2 linked regions of the Oreochromis niloticus genome follow. The protein of the gene in region 1 purifies or fractionates together with the protein of each later gene. This does not show direct contact. Links are inferred from orthologs where the notes say so. Each region holds a gene or a part of one and is shown on either strand. Other genes may lie near its edges.

Region 1 (8,912 bases):
ACAAAACAAAATAAAAGCTGTAAAATAAATAAAATAAATTTAAAGCGGTCTGTAAACCACCTCTGTTCTTTGTTTTTACAGTTAATCCAAATCACGTGGGCCCGGAGCCAAAGAGGTTGCGGACGGCCTACACGCGACAGCAGGTCCTGGAGCTCGAGAAGGAGTTTCACTTCAGCCGCTATCTCACGCGCCGCCGCCGCGTCGAGGTGGCCCACGCGCTCTGCCTGTCCGAACGGCAGGTGAAGGTGTGGTTCCAGAACCGGCGCATGCGCTGGAAGAAAGACAACAAGCTGCCCAACACCAAAGGAAAGAGCAAAAACAAGAAAGCGACCGACAACAACAACAACAGCAACAGCAGCAGCGACAGCATGAAGACGGTGATAACTGTCTGAACACACAGGAGCGCAGAGTGTGGCAGTCGAAGCAGCCATGGTAGCACCTTCATTCTCCAAAGCTGATGTTGCTTAATTTATCCAGGGTGACTGCAGTCCTCAAACAATTCTCACCTGCTTTAAAGTTGCAGTTTTGACGAACACAAGTTTATAAATTCCATGATGTATTTTTTTCCCTTGTTTTTAACTTCAACTTTGGAGCATTTTAATTTTTTTCCTTTTTTGAGGTTTCATCCATATTGAATGTCATAATGAATGAATGAATGAATATATTTTAAGTTCACGGAGACCCCGACATCTCTCTGGTGCAGACAGGGAATTGCTTCATATTTAGACATCCGATGAAGACGCAAAAACATAGTGCTCGTTTGTTGCGGTGGCAAAATACTCGTGACTGCGTTGAACCAGGATGAAACAGGGTTTTCTTTTCTCTACAGGGTAAACATAATACAGGGTTATAGAACAGCTACCTAAAAGCTGAAAAATCCTAATTTATGAATATGCACGTTACCAAAATGTTACATAAACTGGCGCTTAGAGGGTAGGTAGAAGAGCAGAAACACCAAATTGCGTGTTGAGTGACTGCACAAATTATGTTTTAGCTTTTGATTTTGTACAGAGAAGCATCCAAAAATAATTCATATTTGGAAGGAAATTAGCCATATTTTTTTCTTGGATTTTATTTCCCACATTTATAATTTTTTTTTTTTTTTTTTTTAAAAGAGCCAAAATGAAGGTACAATTTTTTAACGCACACACCTGACTGTAAATCCAACTTCTTTTCTCAGGGTTACAGGGTTTTACAAAGAGATCTTTTTTTCTGAAAAAGCTTGTTTGATTTAGCACCGAGGATTAAACTAGCCCTCTGTGAAATACCATGATGTTGCGTATAAATAGGTATGTTCTCTCTTTGATTCCAGTTTAATATGCTATCGATATCTATCATAGTCTACGCCAGTACTTATGTTTAATTTGTACTAATTAGAAACATATTTTATTCTTTCTTTATAGCAAGCATCTTCGCCGTTATTTTTTCGTTACTTTTGAAAAAAAATGTGTATTCCTGTAATAATTTTATATGTGGAAATGTTTTGATAAAAATAGATGAGAAAAATAATAATAATAAAAAAAATTCAAACATTAAAGGTGTGAATATTTGTCTGTGTTGGAGGATAAGCGAAGGACCGATGATTCTGTTTTTTTTGTGGTGGTAGGGGAAGATGAGGTCGGGAGAGAATCAACGGAAGTGACGTGTGATTAGAAACCATGAATTAAAGGCGAAATCGTGATATCCATTTTCGGCTTAAGAAAATAAATAAATACATAAAATAAATAAATAAAATACGGTGTCATCTTTAAGCAGCACGGTCTTTGTCGCAGTCACAACTTAACGGGGGCTCATGATATAGCCAAGCCAAGACTAATGTCTAGTGCGTCATGGCTCCGTTGACACGCTTTTAAAATGCATGCACGCTGTCCCACGGGTGGATTTAGGTTGATCGTCACAGTTTTCTAATTTTCGAGGAGTTATTAAAAGCAGTTGAAACTAAGGAGAAAATTTGGCCTTAAAATATTTAAATTTCTGGGTATTCTGTGTCTTTTACTGTTTTAAAATTTTTGGGGATGTAAATTATTATGTTATGAGACTTTAGTATTGTCTATGATGATATCTTTGTTTAGAAGTTTATAAATCCCCGATACAATAATTCGGGTCCCTCGTAGATCTTGTTTGTCCAAATCGCGAATTTTAGTATGAATATCAATTTAAGTGAAATTGTTTGTGCCAGGATCAAGATTAGCGGTATTTAGGCCTATGTGTATAGTAAATTTACGGGAAAGGAACGTAAATCAAAGTAAAATCCCCTGAAGTAGTGGAATCATGGCTGTGTGTATTTGTGTGTTGATATGTAAGAGAAATGAGCGCTGAGTGCCAATAATTGGTGGCTTCCGTTCGAGACTCGGTTACATGTGCAGGAAAGGCACAAAGGGGCTGACACGGAGCAACCTGGATTATCTATCACACGAAGATCAACCACAGAGCTGCCACAGTCATGACAAAGAAAGTTCAGATCTTCACTAAAAACAGAAAAGCTTCTGAAGTTCTGCATGTCTGCAGTTTGAGATGTTACTCAGGGGAATACCACAAAACAACGTCAAACATCTGGAATTCAAAACCTGATCCCACTAAGACACGCGTGATTACAAACGAGATGCAATTATTCCTAAAATTTCACACCACAAATTCACACGCATTCATGTATTTTATGTATATTTAAATAGACAGAAACAGAATGCAATAATACTGAACAGCATACTTTGTAGATATGCATGTGTTTGTGTTTGTGCATGTACACCTACCCATCTTTCTCTAGTCTGTGATGAAACAGGAATGCCCCCGACTGGTAGCATTAAGTATTACAGTCTGAAAGAGAATTTTTTTTCAGGTTAAGATAAATAATATTTTTCCAGTTAAGAAAACATGGAAATATTTACATTAGAAATACATGGATATATTTATCATTAGTCCTTTGGATTAACAGAAATGTGTATAATACAATGTAATCAATGCTAAATTAGCCTTAGTAATAATAAAGTAAATGAACCAGAAACATACACATCTTTGCAAAGGTTACAATTTTGGGTTGTTACATCTATCCATGCATCATAATGTGTCTCAGTTACTTTGTCCACCTGTGTTTGCACTGTGAACACACAACAGTAAAAATGTACAACTACATCTACCTACAAGTAAGACTTTTAAGACGGGAATGAATGTTGGATATTTCTCACAAGATTAAGAGCATGGCAGGTCACTTTAAATACAGTCACGTGTTCGATTGTAAAGCTTAAAACAGGAAAGGGTGAGAAATGTCACGAGAATGAAACAGTGAAGCATTTCTTATTAAGGTGTGGACAATAACATAGCTACAGAAAAACAGAAACATGGGTGTGCCACAGGCTTGTTTAGATATGGTCGAATGCAGCAGCATTTTTCTGCAAATAGTCTGGATTAATAAACAAAATTTAAAAGATAAATCTTTAAATAGGTAAAGTACAGTCGCTGTGACTTTTTTGTAAGTTTTTAAAGATAAAGTTTTTATCTTTTATTTGGACATTATCTGTCTTTTCAGTCGTTTTCCTTGTACCTGACTATCTTTAGAGAAATGTTTTTTTCTTTTTGTTGTTTACATCACTTAACACTGACATATTAATCATTCAAGAGTAAAAAGTCATCTCACAAGGGACGAAAGGTGTGTATCAAAGAACTAATTTGGAATAGCATTTTTAGGCATTTAGTCTTTTTGCACCAACAATGCAATTCCCAAACACCTATTAGACAAAAACATGGGATGTCTCAGCATGCTGAGCAGTGTGTAATTAAAAACTATCTCCCACAGGTGAAAAGTATCTGAAAATCAACTGACACAGGATGCAACAGATGCATCTGACCTTTCAGTTGATTCATCTGTTTGCAGAAATGATCTCAATGGAAGGAAACCAGGAACAAAAGGCTGATGTATGTCAAACTATTGAAGAACTGGACTGAAAATCAGTATTCACTGGTCTTATGGAGTGATGAATCCAAATGTGAATTTTTTGGTTCATCCCCAGTATAAACAGAGATCATAAGGAGACAGGTACAACAGTGAGATGCTACAGCCATCATTTTTGGGGGCTCCATTTCAACCAGTAATGTTGGGGATCTTGATGGATGGAATTATAACTGCAGAAAAGTACAGTACATTTTTGATCCACCATCCAGAACCTCTGGAAAGCAATTGATTGCCAGCAGCTTAATTTTTGACAATGATCAATGACAAACTGTCAATGCAGTAAACGCATGTCTAGATAGAAAAAACACATAATGAAACACTATCAGTCATGGATTGGCCTCCCCAGAGCCCAGACCTCGACATTATTATAGCAATGTGAGATCATCTTGACAGAAAAAGCAGCCAACATGCAAAATGGAATTTTGAGTGTCATTAAAGAAGCCTGGAGAAGTATTCCTGATTAAAGAAATTACAAGAAAGGCTAAAACTAATACTGTGTTCATAAACTTGGTGGAAAGGAGGCAACTCCTTGAGGAGACTTTTGTTGTGATTTGGCGCTATATAAATAAAATTGAATTGAATTGAATTAAAGAAACTCCTCTGAATTAAATAACAATACAACAAAAAAGCAAATATAATAAGACAGCAACAATAAAATAGTGAGCAAAATAACGAGTATATTAACTTTGCAGATATAAAGGTATAAACACACAATACAGTTCTGCTAAAAATCTACACTTGTCAAAGAAGGATATTGTACTTGCTGCTAGGTAGGCTAGGTAGCAGCAGCCATGGAGTGTGGATGAATGCATGAATGTTACAAACGCTATTAACCTAAAATTCACACTTAGGTTGGGCAAGACACCAAACCTGCCCAAGGATACTTAAACATGCAAACTAGAGAAGTGTGGGATTGAACCACTGCCCTCTATCTCCTGAGCCACAGCCACCCCACACCAACAGTCAGATAAAATCCATTCACATTTAGGTTTTGCTGACTTTGCCCTCCAAATGTATGTTTTCTGCCCTGGACGTTATCTCTTTAATCCTATGTTTGCTGTAACAAAATTATCACATAGATTTCAAATAATGCTTCTCTGAGTCCATGTCTCTCTCACTCTGACATGATGTGTCTGTTTTAGCCAGTTTTATATACACTTTTTTGTGCGGTTAGTTCTTTTCCTTAAACCCAAATAAAAAATGCTACTTTAATAATATGTATTTTTCCATGCATCAAAAGCCCCAATTATTTCTAGTTAAATATAACAATATTGCTACAGTAGCCTGTATGCGCGTCCATAAAGTGGAACTAAAAATTAATGCAACCGTTTCTCTTACGGACATCAATCGCAGGCGGACCGGTCAGTGACTGCAGAACAAGTACTTGCCCTTAAACTTGCAAGCAGTGCTGTTGCTCAGATCGCTCATTATTCTAATCATTATTTAACAATAAGAGTACAACAGCAGCACTATGTCTCTTGCGGCAGAGGCGTTCATGTCGCAGATGGCAGGTAATATGTTGACTTCACCCCGTTTTTCTAGTGATTATGAATAACATTAGCCAGCTAGCTACCAAGAGCTAGGGTTCACAGTAACATAGGCTCTTTACAAATGTAGTTACTTACATATATGGACCTTTAGCTGTTACTATAGCTGCCTTTGTTCGCCTTTTCTTGGTTTCTTAAACAAAGACTGACTGGCCTGGAAAACCCCCAAAGCACTCTGTCATTCTGCATGTCGTGGATTGCTTGGCAGGTGTAACACAGGAATCTAATGTAAATAGCGCCATATTTCTGTTTACTGTTAAAAGCATAAATCAGCAGGAGAACGGTGAATTCAAGCGGAAACGGCTCAAGAGGGCTAATGTTAGTGACAACCCCGTATCGTTACAAAATCGGCTCAAATCTATCAATTTTAACAGAGACATGCTCAGAGATTCCCCCGGTGGCTGGAGGCTGTACTGCAAGGACGGCGGTGTAACAGCATAGGTCGTTGAGTGAGCACCGTGCGCCCCGTGTCTGAATTCTTTATAATCGTTTATCAAATAACTTTATATGAGTAGAAGTGAAGAAGAGGGTGCAGTCAGGGTGATGTGGATGGAGATGAGTGTCCGGGGTGATTTATGTCAGAAGTGAGCCAGAGTGAAAGGGAAGGTCTGCAAGATGGTAGTGAGACCTGCTGTGATGTATGGTCTGTAGACGGTACACTAACAAAGGTCAGTGGTGCTAAGGTTTTCTTTGGGAGTGAGCAGGATGGACAAGATTAGAACTAAGTATATCAGAGGGACAGATCAGGTTAAGGAGTTTGACAAAGTTAGAGAGGTGAGGCTGAGATGGTTTAGATATTTGCAGAGGAGGGGTAGTGAACATGGAGCTGGCAGGCAGGAGGAAAAAAGGAAGACCACACGAATGGTCATGGATATAGGCTAGGAGGACATGCGGAGAGTTGGTGTGAGATGAAGGCAGATGATCCACCGGGACGATTGTTAAAGGAAGAGTCAAAAGTAGACAAAGAACAATTAGTAAAAGAACGTTGACAGTCGATCCCACAAGCAACATTATAGGTTAATGAGTCACATTATCACCGTATAATTGTGTGTCTTTCCCTGCATGTCTGTTTCTGATGTTGACAGCTGCTGAGCCGTGGCCTGAAAATGCAACCTTGTACCAGCCACTGAAGGGTGAGTTAGTGAAATGGAGGCACAAACATAATGTCAATAGCAATATAGCTATTTATATATTTTGTTATTTTTGCAGAGGATCAGATTCTCCTGTCGGACTGCGCCTCATCTCTCGCTGTTCAGGTAAAGCAAACATACATGTACACACATTACACACCTTGCTCAATGTAATGTTTATTTGTTAATTACTCGGCCTGTTGTGCTCAGGAAACAAGGAAAGCTTCTGAACGTTTTAGTGGTTTTAATTCAAATATTTAATACTATTTTCATTATTTAATTAATGAAAACTGAACTTGTATAAAAGCTTTCAGTTCTTCATTGCACAATTTTGAACATTTAACCAGCACAAAACTGATATAAGATAACAGATGAACATTGGCTGCTGCCGACAATTTAATGTCAACGTATTTGGTGTCTTATTAGTTGACTGCCAACTAATAAGATACTGATATTAGGTTGTTATACTGCTGAAAATATATACATATATTTTTTTTAATGCATCAAGTATGAAATGCAGTTGTTGATATTATCTGTATTTGACCTTTTGACCTCTACTCTGACTTTGGATTTGACCTTACTCATGGAAGGAAATCTGCATTGCTGCAAAATAAAGTTAACTGATTTTTTTAAAAGCATATCAAAGTATACCACAAGTAATATTTTTCATTTACTTTCACAGTATGTTTAGTTAATGCATTCATCCGAATGAATGATTTGAGACTGGGAGGAGATGCAAACCCAACCTCATGGCGTTACACGCTAGTGTCCTCCTAGTGCTTTTTTCCTCAGCTGCTTAATTCTGTTGTGTTTCTGATGTGCAGGCGTACCTGAGGATGTGTGGTCTGCCAGTTCAGGTGGTCTACAGAGCAAACGCTGAATACATGTCACCTTCTGGTAAGTACACATGCCGCTTCAGAGACAAATTCTGGGTGTCTGATCTCAATACTGTGTAATCTCAGCACTCATACTGCTCATTAAAACATTACACAACTGTACACTGTAAGCTGGTTTGAAAATTGTTAGTTAGGATTTTAGTAGAAATTTTAGTCTTACTCCGCTATAAAATGAAATGCTAAGTTTGCTTCCAGGTTTCGTGTAGGTGCATCTGGAAGTTACTTTGTTGCAGGTTAGCGTTTTGTGTTGAATTAAATGTGATGATTTTAATGCCCAGCCTTTTTATGTTTGTGTCCATAGGTAAAATTCCCTTTATCCACGTGGGCAACCAGGTGGTGTCAGAACTGGGGCCGATTGTGCAATTTACTAAAGCCAAGGCAAGTGTTGTACAGATGAAAGCTGTTATTGTTTCTTTTGGCAAATTCTCTTCCAGTTTTTCCCAGTAGAGGAGCAGATTTTCATATTTCTTTCTGCTCTTGTCTTCTTTTGGGTACTTAGGGTCATTCTCTGAGCGATGGCTTAGATGATGTTCAGAGAGCAGAAATGAAAGCGTACATGGAGCTGGTCAACAATATGCTGCTTACTGCTGAGGTATGAAAAACATAAAAACCATAACATACTGATACTAGAACTTCAGCACATATACAGTTTTTATGAGTGTGTCTGAGAAATATCCTCTCACCCATGTCCTCATCTCTCTACAGTTGTACATTCAGTGGTGTGATGATTCTACAGCCACTGAGGTGTGTACACCAGGCTTTAATAAGTTGTTGTTGTTTTTTTAAAGTCTTGATAACCTCCTAATCAGCTGTATCTGTTTTTGTAGATTTCTCGTCCCAGATACAGCAGTCCGTACTCATGGCCTCTCAATAAAATCCTCGCCTACCAGAAGCAGTGGGAGGTGCGCAGGAAGATGAACGCCATTGGCTGGGGAGGGAAAACGTTGGAGCAGGTTAGCAACAACCTGGAAGTGAAAAGCTGTTTTGCCAGCACTACATTTCCCTTTCTGCAATCAGAAAAATAATTTCATATCTTATTCTTTTAAAGGTGGAACTCTTCAAAGTTTTACAGAATTGATCTTTTAGACTGTTTGAAGGCCCTTAAGTATAACTTATTTGTGTATGTAGGAAAAAGAGCCCAGTCTGATCGTCAACATCAGACTGTCTAGAAAAAAAATAAAGTAAACAAACATGTTTTAAAAGTCTTTATGTCCTCATGTATTTCAGGTTTATGAAGATGTGAGTCAATGCTGCCAGGCTCTCTCTCAGAGGCTGGGAACACAGTCATACTTTTTTAATAAACAGTATGTATTTTTTTTTTTTTCCTATCTGTATGTTTGTGGTTATCGCTTTCTCATTTGTCTTGTTTATAACAACTGAATAACAAATCTAC
Region 2 (9,450 bases), on another chromosome or scaffold:
AAGTGTATCGCAAACAGTTTCTTTGTTAAACACTACCTACCCTGGTGGAAATCATGAGTCTCCCCCTGCAGTGTTTACAGTCAACAAGATATTTCAGTGGATGTGAGTGTATGATTGATACGTTCGTCTATACTCTATGTCCATTCTCTTTAAATCCCCAAAATGAAACAAAACTGAGCTACTGCCAGACAGAGCCACAATTCTCCCTTCAGCTTGGTGATACTCTTTATAGGTTGTAGAACTTTTTAAAGAAACTGAAAGTGAAAGCATTTAATTCCCCCAAATGGATTCTCTTTTGCACATATTAAGTATTATCTAACCAAAATTCATGCTTTATGGTATCCAGCAGTACTCAGCATCCTCATACCTCTTTCCTAAAACAAGTTCTGATGATTTGTCAGAACTATTTTAACCGTCAACAGCAGCCAGTATGATGGTGTCAGTTCCTGGCAGCACAGCAAACAAGGCGTCTTAGAACGGAATGTTGTCCTGCAAACATTTGTGGATACACCTCCTCCTGGTCGGATAAGTATGCACTCACTGCCTTTCTGGCCTGTTCTGTATAGACTCACCTGAGGGCTTGACGGTTAAGTAGAAGTGATAAGAAAGGAGAAATGAAGTAAGATTAGTCAAAGGTATTTAAAGAAGACCTGACAAAAGAAGAGAAACTAAGCTCGAACAGAAGCAGCTACCCGTCTCACCACCTCGGATCATGTCGCTGTCAAAGCCAGAGGACCAGCTCGCCTACGAGCTGAGCTGTCCCATCTGCCTTCAGCTCTACTCTGACCCGGTGGCTCTCCCCTGTGGGCACAACTACTGTCTATCCTGTATCCGCAAGACTATTGACAGCACGGATAAGACTGGCAAAATCCTGCCGCGCTGCCCAGAATGTCGTGAGGAGTATCCTGGCATGGATAACCTGCAGATAAATTTCAAACTTCGCAGCATCATTGAGAACTACAAGGCCACCGCGCCGCTGCTGAACATGCAAGCCGACTGCGTGGATACCAAAATGGAGGTTTTCTGCGATCAGTGCATAGACGAGCAGTCGCCCGCCGTGAAGACCTGCCTGAAGTGTGAGGTGTCTCTGTGCTCCAGACACCTTCAGAAACACAACGAGAAGGAGTTGTTCAGGACCCACCCCGTGGTGGAGCCCACGACGGAGCTGAGAGTGAAGGCCTGTGCCATCCACCAGCGTCCCCTTGAGTACTTTTGTTCCAACGACATGATCTCTCTGTGCACCACATGCATCGTAGAGGGCCATCACGAGAGCCACGATGTTCTCACCTTTAGCATAGCTGAAGAGGAGATGAGACGAGGGCTGGAGGCCCGAAATAAGGTATTTTTGTTATATCTGTTATATTGTAGCATTAAATATTAGGAAGGGGGATTATTATGTCTATATATATATATGTATATATATATATATGTATTTTTTTTTAATTGATAACCTACAAAATGTGGCCACATCTGGTTCAGCTGAGCATGCACAAAAGTGAAAGTAGTGCTCAGCCAGGGCTTGTATACTGATGAATAAAATATTCAAGTTATACAAATGCATGATTCATGCTATAAAAATATGTGAGGGAACTTACTGTTGAGAAATGCCAAAACCTGAAAATCCTGTAATATAATTTTGGAACAATGTTTAAAAGACTGTGCTCTATGCATATGGGACACAGACATGGGAACCTAACTTGTTTCACATATAAATTAAGGGCTTGGCACCTCAGTGACTCACTGCCATTTTCGGGGAGTGGTGAAGATCTGGTATGCAAAACAAATCTGTCTGATGGGAATAACCTGATGACCTTTGGCAGAGTCGTGCTATACATACACTGTAAAAGTACAAAGTCAGAATGTAAAAATTAATATTTTGGACAAGAAAATGATCAAATGTTGATGGAACATGATCATATATTACTTAACATTACAGACATTTACAGTACTACATATATGTATATATAGATCTGTATTCTCTACTTGTTTTCTGAAAGCCACTTACGAGAAAAGGCCATCCAGTTTTTCCAGATCTGAAATCTTTTATGCTTATACACAATAGAAAGAATCCTGTTGTGTGAAACACAGAAGATCTTAAAACATATTATATGTGTGTTTGCAGGTCATTTCTAGTAGACTGCAGCTGACAGAGGGACTCCTGCAGAAGACAGCAGAGGATCAGGGAGCCTCTGAAGCTGTAGGAGACAAAATGGTCAGCAAGGCTGTGACAGTCATGGACAGCATAGGTGCTCTGGTGGACAGGTAACCTGCTGCACATTTGCTGCTAGTAACACTGCCTTAAAAAGTAGCATGTGGTGTAATTAAGGAAATGTTCATGCACAGTACGTTTTCAAACAGCAAGATGACAAATGATATTGGCTTAAAAAAGGTGTGGAAAACCCAGACTGCATATTTCAGAGGTGGTAGAACAGTGTTCCTTCCGGACCTTCTCTCTGACAAGCGAATTTACAGGATGCGCTTCATATTTTCAGCAGCAAATAAAAATACAGACCAAAACGCAGGCCCCTCAAAGAATGTAGCATGCATGTATGTAATGAATGCAGTTTATCTGCATTTTAAGCCTACCAGTGTCTGTTTTGTGGGATAGATTCAAGGGTGTTTATAACACCCTAATACTTCAGTAAGTTCATTTATTAACCACTTTACACAGATTTGAAGCACTGTCCACATAAAAAAGGACATTAAGTACAATAATAGTCAATAAAAAGCAATGAAATAAACAGGCAATCAATAACATTCTCAACAGAGAGATAAATAATCTGAAGCCTGGCCTTTTAGTACTCTGCATGTAAATATGAGGATTTTAAAATAAATCCTTAAATCTACTGAGAGTAAAGAGTACAAAAGGCTAGTTTTCTACTTTAAGTTCAAGAAAACATTCAAGAAAGTATATCTTTGGAAGTGAGGCAGTAAGACTGAAATGTAGAGCTCAGTCACATTAGTGAGGCTGTGTGTGAGCTAGTTGCACTTTAAGCTAAATAAAAATATTGAGCATGCATAGCAGGAATTTTCCCGGGGCTTAGGGACTCTTGGGGGAGTTTATTATGTCATATGTTGTCAGTCTGAATAAATATATGGAAGTTCGTGCTGAGGGTTGGAACTTTCTGGAAGTTCAGGAACTTCTGGGTGTGCCTCTGAGCACATTGCTTATCATTTAAGTAGCCTGCCAGCAGCATTTCAGCCAGTTTCATCTCACAGACATTTTCTCAGTACCAGGTATTTACTGAAAGAACAAAAACAAAACAAAACAAAAAACTCACATACATCATTAGATTCTATCTGTTTAGCTCTTTTGTTTGATTTTTTTTTAAATGATCTAGCTAGCTGGCTAACCTTATCTAATTAGCACAGATTAAAACTTAGACTGGTGAATATTTTCTGAGCTTTGTGAGTATTTCTCATTGTATGGATGCATGTACAACTCTAAAGCAGACACAGTGATGAATCGATCCACCTGATTCTGTCTAGTAACATTGCGATAATAAAAGGAATAAAACTGACCAGTCCTCTTCACTTGTGTGCTGTGCTGTGATACAGGTACAGGGATCGCCTGCTTTCGCTGTTGGAGGAGGAGAGAGGACAGCGCCGCAAAAGCTGGCAGCTAGGTATGAGTGCACTTGAGGAGCAGCAGCAGCAGCTGATGGAGGCCCAAAAGAGCGCCACAGAGGTCCTCAATGAGACAGACACATGCATCTTTATACACAGGTACAGAAATCTGCCCTGCTATTACAATTAAAAAGAAGAAATACATAGAACAATGTACAAATGACAAGAAAGTGGAAATGATGCAGTATTCTTACTGATAAACTGACACTTCTCTGTTTATTACCCATGGCATATGGCTAGATGAGTGGGGTAAGTAACAATAAATCTTTGCTCTCCAGGTTCATGCAGATTGAACAAAAGCTGAGAGATGTTGTCACCAGTGCCATTCCCTCCTACATCCCCTCAAAGACTCCACTCAATACAATGCTCCTGCAGGGAGGCCTCAAAACCCAAGACTTCTGCACAGAAATGACTCGCCTCATGGATTCTCTTCATATCCTCCTCAACCCACTGGAACTCACCTTCAGCATCTACACCGCCCACCCCAACCTGCTGGTGTCCAACGATCTGCGCACAGTCAAATACAGTTCCAACAAGCAGTCGTACCCGGAGCACCCCGAGCGTTTCACGAGCACACCTCAGATCCTGTGCAGCCAGGGTTTCTCTGGCGGCGAGCACGTATGGGTTGTAGAAGTGGGACCCAATAGCATGTGGTCACTGGGTGTGTGCTACAAGAGCATCCCTCGCCGTGGTGACCACAGCCGTCTGGGGCACAACACTGTGTCCTGGAGGCTGCAGTGGAAAAATGGCAAGCTGACAGTGTGCCAGTGCTCCTCGAATGTGGTCCTTAAGGAAGTGACCACACCACCGGTCAAGATTGAGGTCACACTGGACTATGAGGGGGGAACTTTGACGTTCCACAGCACCAAAGGGCGCAGGGAGCACCTCCACACCTTAAAGGCTGTGTTTAAAGAGCCTGTTTACCCGGCGTTCGGTATACATTCAAACACACCAGACTCCTGGATCACACTGAGCAGTGGGATGTGAATACGTCCTGCATAGAAATTGCTTTGTTAGTCAGCCAAGTGAACTGCCTTCCAGCTAACACAAAAACCAACAATGTGTCTGCTGCCTGGCATTGCTGCATCGTATACATTTAGCATTACAATCACATGAGATTGTTTACAAAAATTTGTTGTTCATACTTAGGGTGTTTTAATAGAGTAGATTTATCAATGCAGGCGCCTATTACCTTTGTGAGATCTTGAGGCATAAACATTTATGTCACAAGATCATGTTTTCATTTTGTGTGTTTTGTAAATGTTATTGTAACGTGTTGAATGTTGTGTTTGTCCCCCATACAGTAAACACTGGTGTGCGCAGACGCTGACATTTAGGGACAAACTGAGACATGTTTTGTGTTTATTCTACAAATAAACTTATCTGGCAATGTTTCTGTGCGTCTTGTGACCAACTTTGTCTCAATACTTATACAGGTGCATAGAAATAATCTATGCCGTATATAGCCTTTGATTGGCTGTTGATATTTCAGCCATTCAAGTATGACCCTGGAGTTGCCAGGTGTGCCTGTAAATCCTTGATTTAAAAAAAAAAAAAGCGATTAAGCAATTTGCATTTGATATGACTTTCCCCAGAACACACATCTAATAATTTCTTATTAACAATTTCGTTTTCACACGCAATTTTATCATTTCTTGCCAACGCACGATCTGACCTTTACACATGTGCAAGAGGAGGATGGTTCACGAAGAACCTGGCAACCCATCCCATCTGTCTCACATTCTGTCATTGGGCAGGACAGCAACATTATTTCATATTATAAACATTTTTCTCACCACGAAAGCTGTGCGTTTGCAGCAGAAGCATGGGTTCGGGAGAGAGTACAACAAGAAAAGTGTCCTTCGGTGTCGACGATGAGGACAGGGTCAGAATTCTCCGTGGAGTCAAGGTAATGCTAATTTAGCTAGCACTTGAGAAGCCATGCTAGCATTACTTTAATGTGTCGCTTAGCACTGACTGGCTATTGTCAAATTAAGTTGTTGCTTTGTTCAAGCTATCAGTCTACGACCGGTAGAGTGTCACTGCTAAAATGAGGAGGTGCAAAGGGACGCAGAGGGTGGGATAGGTTGCTGAAAGAGCTGAAATACGTAAATCTTTTTGTTACCCCAAACTCCATTGGTAATAAGGTGAAAATAGTAATGTTCCTTGTTCACAAGTAAAGGAATACATTAGGGAGATGGTCTAAGAAATATAGAAAACTTTAGGACCTTAAGGTAAATTCGGCATATACATTGCCCACCTAGCAGGAAAACTAATTACCCGAAATTAAACATTTTAGCTGTCACCTACTCGCTGGCATTTGCTAACAACGTTAACGCGATAAAACGTTTAGTTTGCATTAAAGAGCATTAAAGAACGCTGTTATCCTACTGGAACATGTCAGCTGCACAGTAAGTGTGTATCGAAAAAACGGGGAGAATCGTATAAATGTCATAACTGCCTGATATGTTGTTTTAACTAACCATATGTGTAATTAGAAGTGGATGGCTTTAAATGAGCAAATTTCAAACGAGGTTTGGTATGGAGTTGACGCCTCTTTAGTGTTGCTTTCACGTGCTGTTGGACATATGTTTTTAACTTTAGCTTATACTTTTAGAACATCTAAGAGTAGAGCGAGTTAGTGTATGTAAGTGAAACCAGTGAAACACTAATGCAGTTGCATATATAACTAAATTGTCGTCTTCTAAAACAGGAAACGATAATATACAAAACAACAATTAGAAATGATTTTGAACAGGATATAGGCATGTCTAGTTTTGCTGAGCTTTCGGTCATCTGTCAAGCGCTGACAACATCAGTTAGATAATCATACACCACCATGTTTATTTCGTTTCTGAACTCGTTTGTGGAGATTCTTGCATTGTCATAATGATGCTGATGTGTACTCGTTTCACCTTTAGCCTGTTGGCGTGTGTGATTAAGTGGCAAATTAAAATTCTTAAGTTATTCTTCTTGCATGCACACACATACAGAAAATCAGCTGGTGTGGGTGTGTGCCTCCAAATATCCTAACATTATGAGGAAAAACAACCACTGGAAAATGAAGCATGTCAAAAATTAATATGTTGTGGTGGAATGCAATGACATGCAATGGCTGTGAGCAGTTTTGTAAGTTGACCAGTTTTTATGTAGTGCTTTTCTACTCTGAGCACCCAAAGTGCTTTTAAAATGTCTGTAAGAAAAGAGCCTGCCTTGGTTGCACATTCAGTGTGACTCATAGAAACAGTGAGTCAGTGCTCCCTTCTGTGGTTTTTGGGGTAGTAGTGCTTAAGGACTTCCCTGGATACACAAAGACACACACACACACACACACACACACATACAGATACACAAACACTAGAGGTTCAGTGATCCTCTATTAATGGCATGTTTTTCTTGTTTGTTTGTTTTTTATCTGAAGGATTACACAAATGTTGTTTTCTCTTAAATAAATAACACACGTCATGTATATGATATGATTTGTGGTTGACTCTGTTTGTCCAGCTGTCAGAAGATGTTCTGCAAAGAATGAGAGGAGTTGCCAACATTGCCCCAGAACGCACGTCATCACCTGCCTCAAGCCCTCAGACAAACACAGGTAGTGATCATTTTTGAGATTAAATTTTATTGATGCCTCCGCCATTATCGAGTTTGCTTACAGACCAGTTTGTTTTAATTATTCCCCTTTTGATTTCTGACAGTTTATTCTCTCTGTATTTGTGGGGGTAGGTTTCACGGAGTCTCAGCATTAACAGTTTTATTATCTCTCAGTGTGAACACACTGACTGAAACTCAGGTGTAAAACAAAAAGCCTCACCCGCTGTGAATTTGGCATCATTGTTCTGCCATGTGCAATTGCGAGTACAATGTGCCAACATCGTGTGAGAACTTGATAAACTTTGACACATACAATTCGAATGGAGTAGACAATTTGGAACTGGTTCTCGATTCTCATCTGTAAACGCACGTATCACCTCAGCTGATAGTGTTTAACCTCACGAGAAAATACTTCTTTTAGAAAAAAACGTGTTGCCTCAGCTTTTTAACTGGAAACCTGTGTCAGAATAAACTGAGAGCGTGAAATGATTTTGGCAGCCAGGGAAAAGATGTGGTGTCCTCCTTTGAAGAAGAAAAAAAAAGTCACTACTTTCTTTCTTTGGTGGAATTTAATTTACTGAAATTGACTGTTGCTTTTCAAGTAGTCAAAATTTGCAAGAAAATTTATAGAGTTTTACACTTCTTTTAAGATAAGATAACACATATTCACTGTCAACTAAATGTCTGACCTAAAGTAAATTTTGAGCTACAGTTCATACAAACTATATATGTATATATATAAATGTAAACTTCAACTATGTTTGATTATATAGCATTAATTATACATGTGCATTTGTCCCTATTTTGACAGTAAAGCTGTAAGCCACAAAAGTGCCAGTGTTGTTGTTACCTTGTGTGATAGTTTTGTCCTTTGAACATTTGTTGTCTTTGTTCAGCCTCCTCTCACAGTGCCAGCTCAGGCTCTCAATCTCAGCAAGGCCCACAGCAGCGCGCCCCACCCAGTTCTCAGCACAGCAAATCGGCCTCCTTTAGCAAAGAAGATCAGAGGAGGTGGGTTAAAGGAAATTCAGGATACAGATTTGAGTTAAGCTGATTTCTGCCTGGTGACCATTTGTATGCATTGCAAATAGAATTGTTGCATATCAGAGCAAAAGGTTTTTTGTGATTTGTTATAAATCACAAGGTTGTGTTGCTGTTTGCGTTGGAAAGAAAACAAAAAATATGGATGGTGTGCCACATTTTTTTTGAAGGCTCAATCAAAAAAACTAAAATGAGCTGTAACAGGATAATATGCAACACTGTGAAGGTTTCAGAAATATGATCTGACGCTTATCATTTCAGAGAGCCTTTAAATCAAGAGCTTCTTCTAAAAGAGTCCTTACTAATTTAACCTGCAGGGCATCATGCATGGTTTCACATTAAGTCAAGTTGAGTAAATGCATAAATAAATACCTGTAAAGCTTATCAAGCTCCTATTTCCATTCTGAGTTGTGTGATTGTACAACATGTCTCTGTTTTGATGGAAGCTGTTTTTGTATCCAAAGAAGTTTGCTAGTTCACTATTGGTTAACAGTGTGTCTATATAAAGTAGTTTCACATTATTGAAAGCTGTCATGGCCTTTGCTATTTATAAGCTAAACTCAGGTATCACTTGACATTTCAGATATGGGTTAGACTGTGTTGCACTTTGATAATTTAGTAAGATAAATGATGTTTGATAAGGACCTTCATTAATAGTAATTTTGTTCATTTGAAAATGGATAAAAGGAGGTCATTCTTATTTCATGTCAGCATTCTGATTCATGTCTAATGAATGAACTAAACTCCTGATAAGTTTGAAGCTACCCCACTATGCATGTTTCTAATATTCTATGGAGGGATCTTAAATTGTGTCTATACTGCCCCCTAGTGGACACACATAAATATATACATACGACATCTGACTGTACTGTGGAATGCAGGACTTGATGGCCATGAAAAACAGTATAAAAGATCAGTGTACTGTAGCTTCTGGTGCCTTAAACCTCCATTCTTTGTAACACCCATCAGGCCATGTGAAAAGGCTTCTGGGTCAAGGCTATGGGGAAAAAAGGTCCTGAGCTGTGACCTCTGTAAACACTTTCCCGATGACTTTATGGGCTCAGTCACTCATTTCAGATTATGTTGAATTAAAAACAAAACAAAAAAACAAACAAAAAACATTTGGTCTTTTAAAGTGTCATGAGGATTATCTGTAATCCACCTTACATACTTTAATGTGTCAGT

Evidence for each region.
Region 2: the proteins of mtx2 (region 1) and chchd6a purify together in Homo sapiens (co-immunoprecipitation; 3 studies listed by BioGRID and IntAct, counting the BioPlex papers as one, with this or other methods). This does not show direct contact. The link is inferred for Oreochromis niloticus from reciprocal best matches to the Homo sapiens genes MTX2 and CHCHD6.

What each region holds. Positions count from the first base shown.
Region 1 is NC_031978.2:6,921,749-6,930,660, forward strand, and holds the start of mtx2 (metaxin-2), read left to right. Parts: upstream 1-5,310; 5' UTR 5,311-5,417; coding exon 5,418-5,457; intron 5,458-5,571; exon of another isoform or gene 5,572-6,572; intron 6,573-6,578; coding exon 6,579-6,626; intron 6,627-6,702; coding exon 6,703-6,749; intron 6,750-7,447; coding exon 7,448-7,520; intron 7,521-7,820; coding exon 7,821-7,897; intron 7,898-8,018; coding exon 8,019-8,111; intron 8,112-8,224; coding exon 8,225-8,263; intron 8,264-8,346; coding exon 8,347-8,472; intron 8,473-8,746; coding exon 8,747-8,823; intron 8,824-8,912. Other genes in the region: homeobox protein Hox-D4b, read left to right, coding at 82-392. UniProt on the Homo sapiens protein: Involved in transport of proteins into the mitochondrion.
Region 2 is NC_031984.2:29,251,068-29,260,517, forward strand, and holds the start of chchd6a (MICOS complex subunit mic25a), read left to right. Parts: upstream 1-5,317; 5' UTR 5,318-5,452; coding exon 5,453-5,536; intron 5,537-7,131; coding exon 7,132-7,225; intron 7,226-8,120; coding exon 8,121-8,235; intron 8,236-9,450. Other genes in the region: E3 ubiquitin/ISG15 ligase TRIM25, read left to right, coding at 713-1,339, 2,123-2,262, 3,559-3,726, 3,906-4,614. UniProt on the Homo sapiens protein: Component of the MICOS complex, a large protein complex of the mitochondrial inner membrane that plays crucial roles in the maintenance of crista junctions, inner membrane architecture, and formation of contact sites to the outer membrane.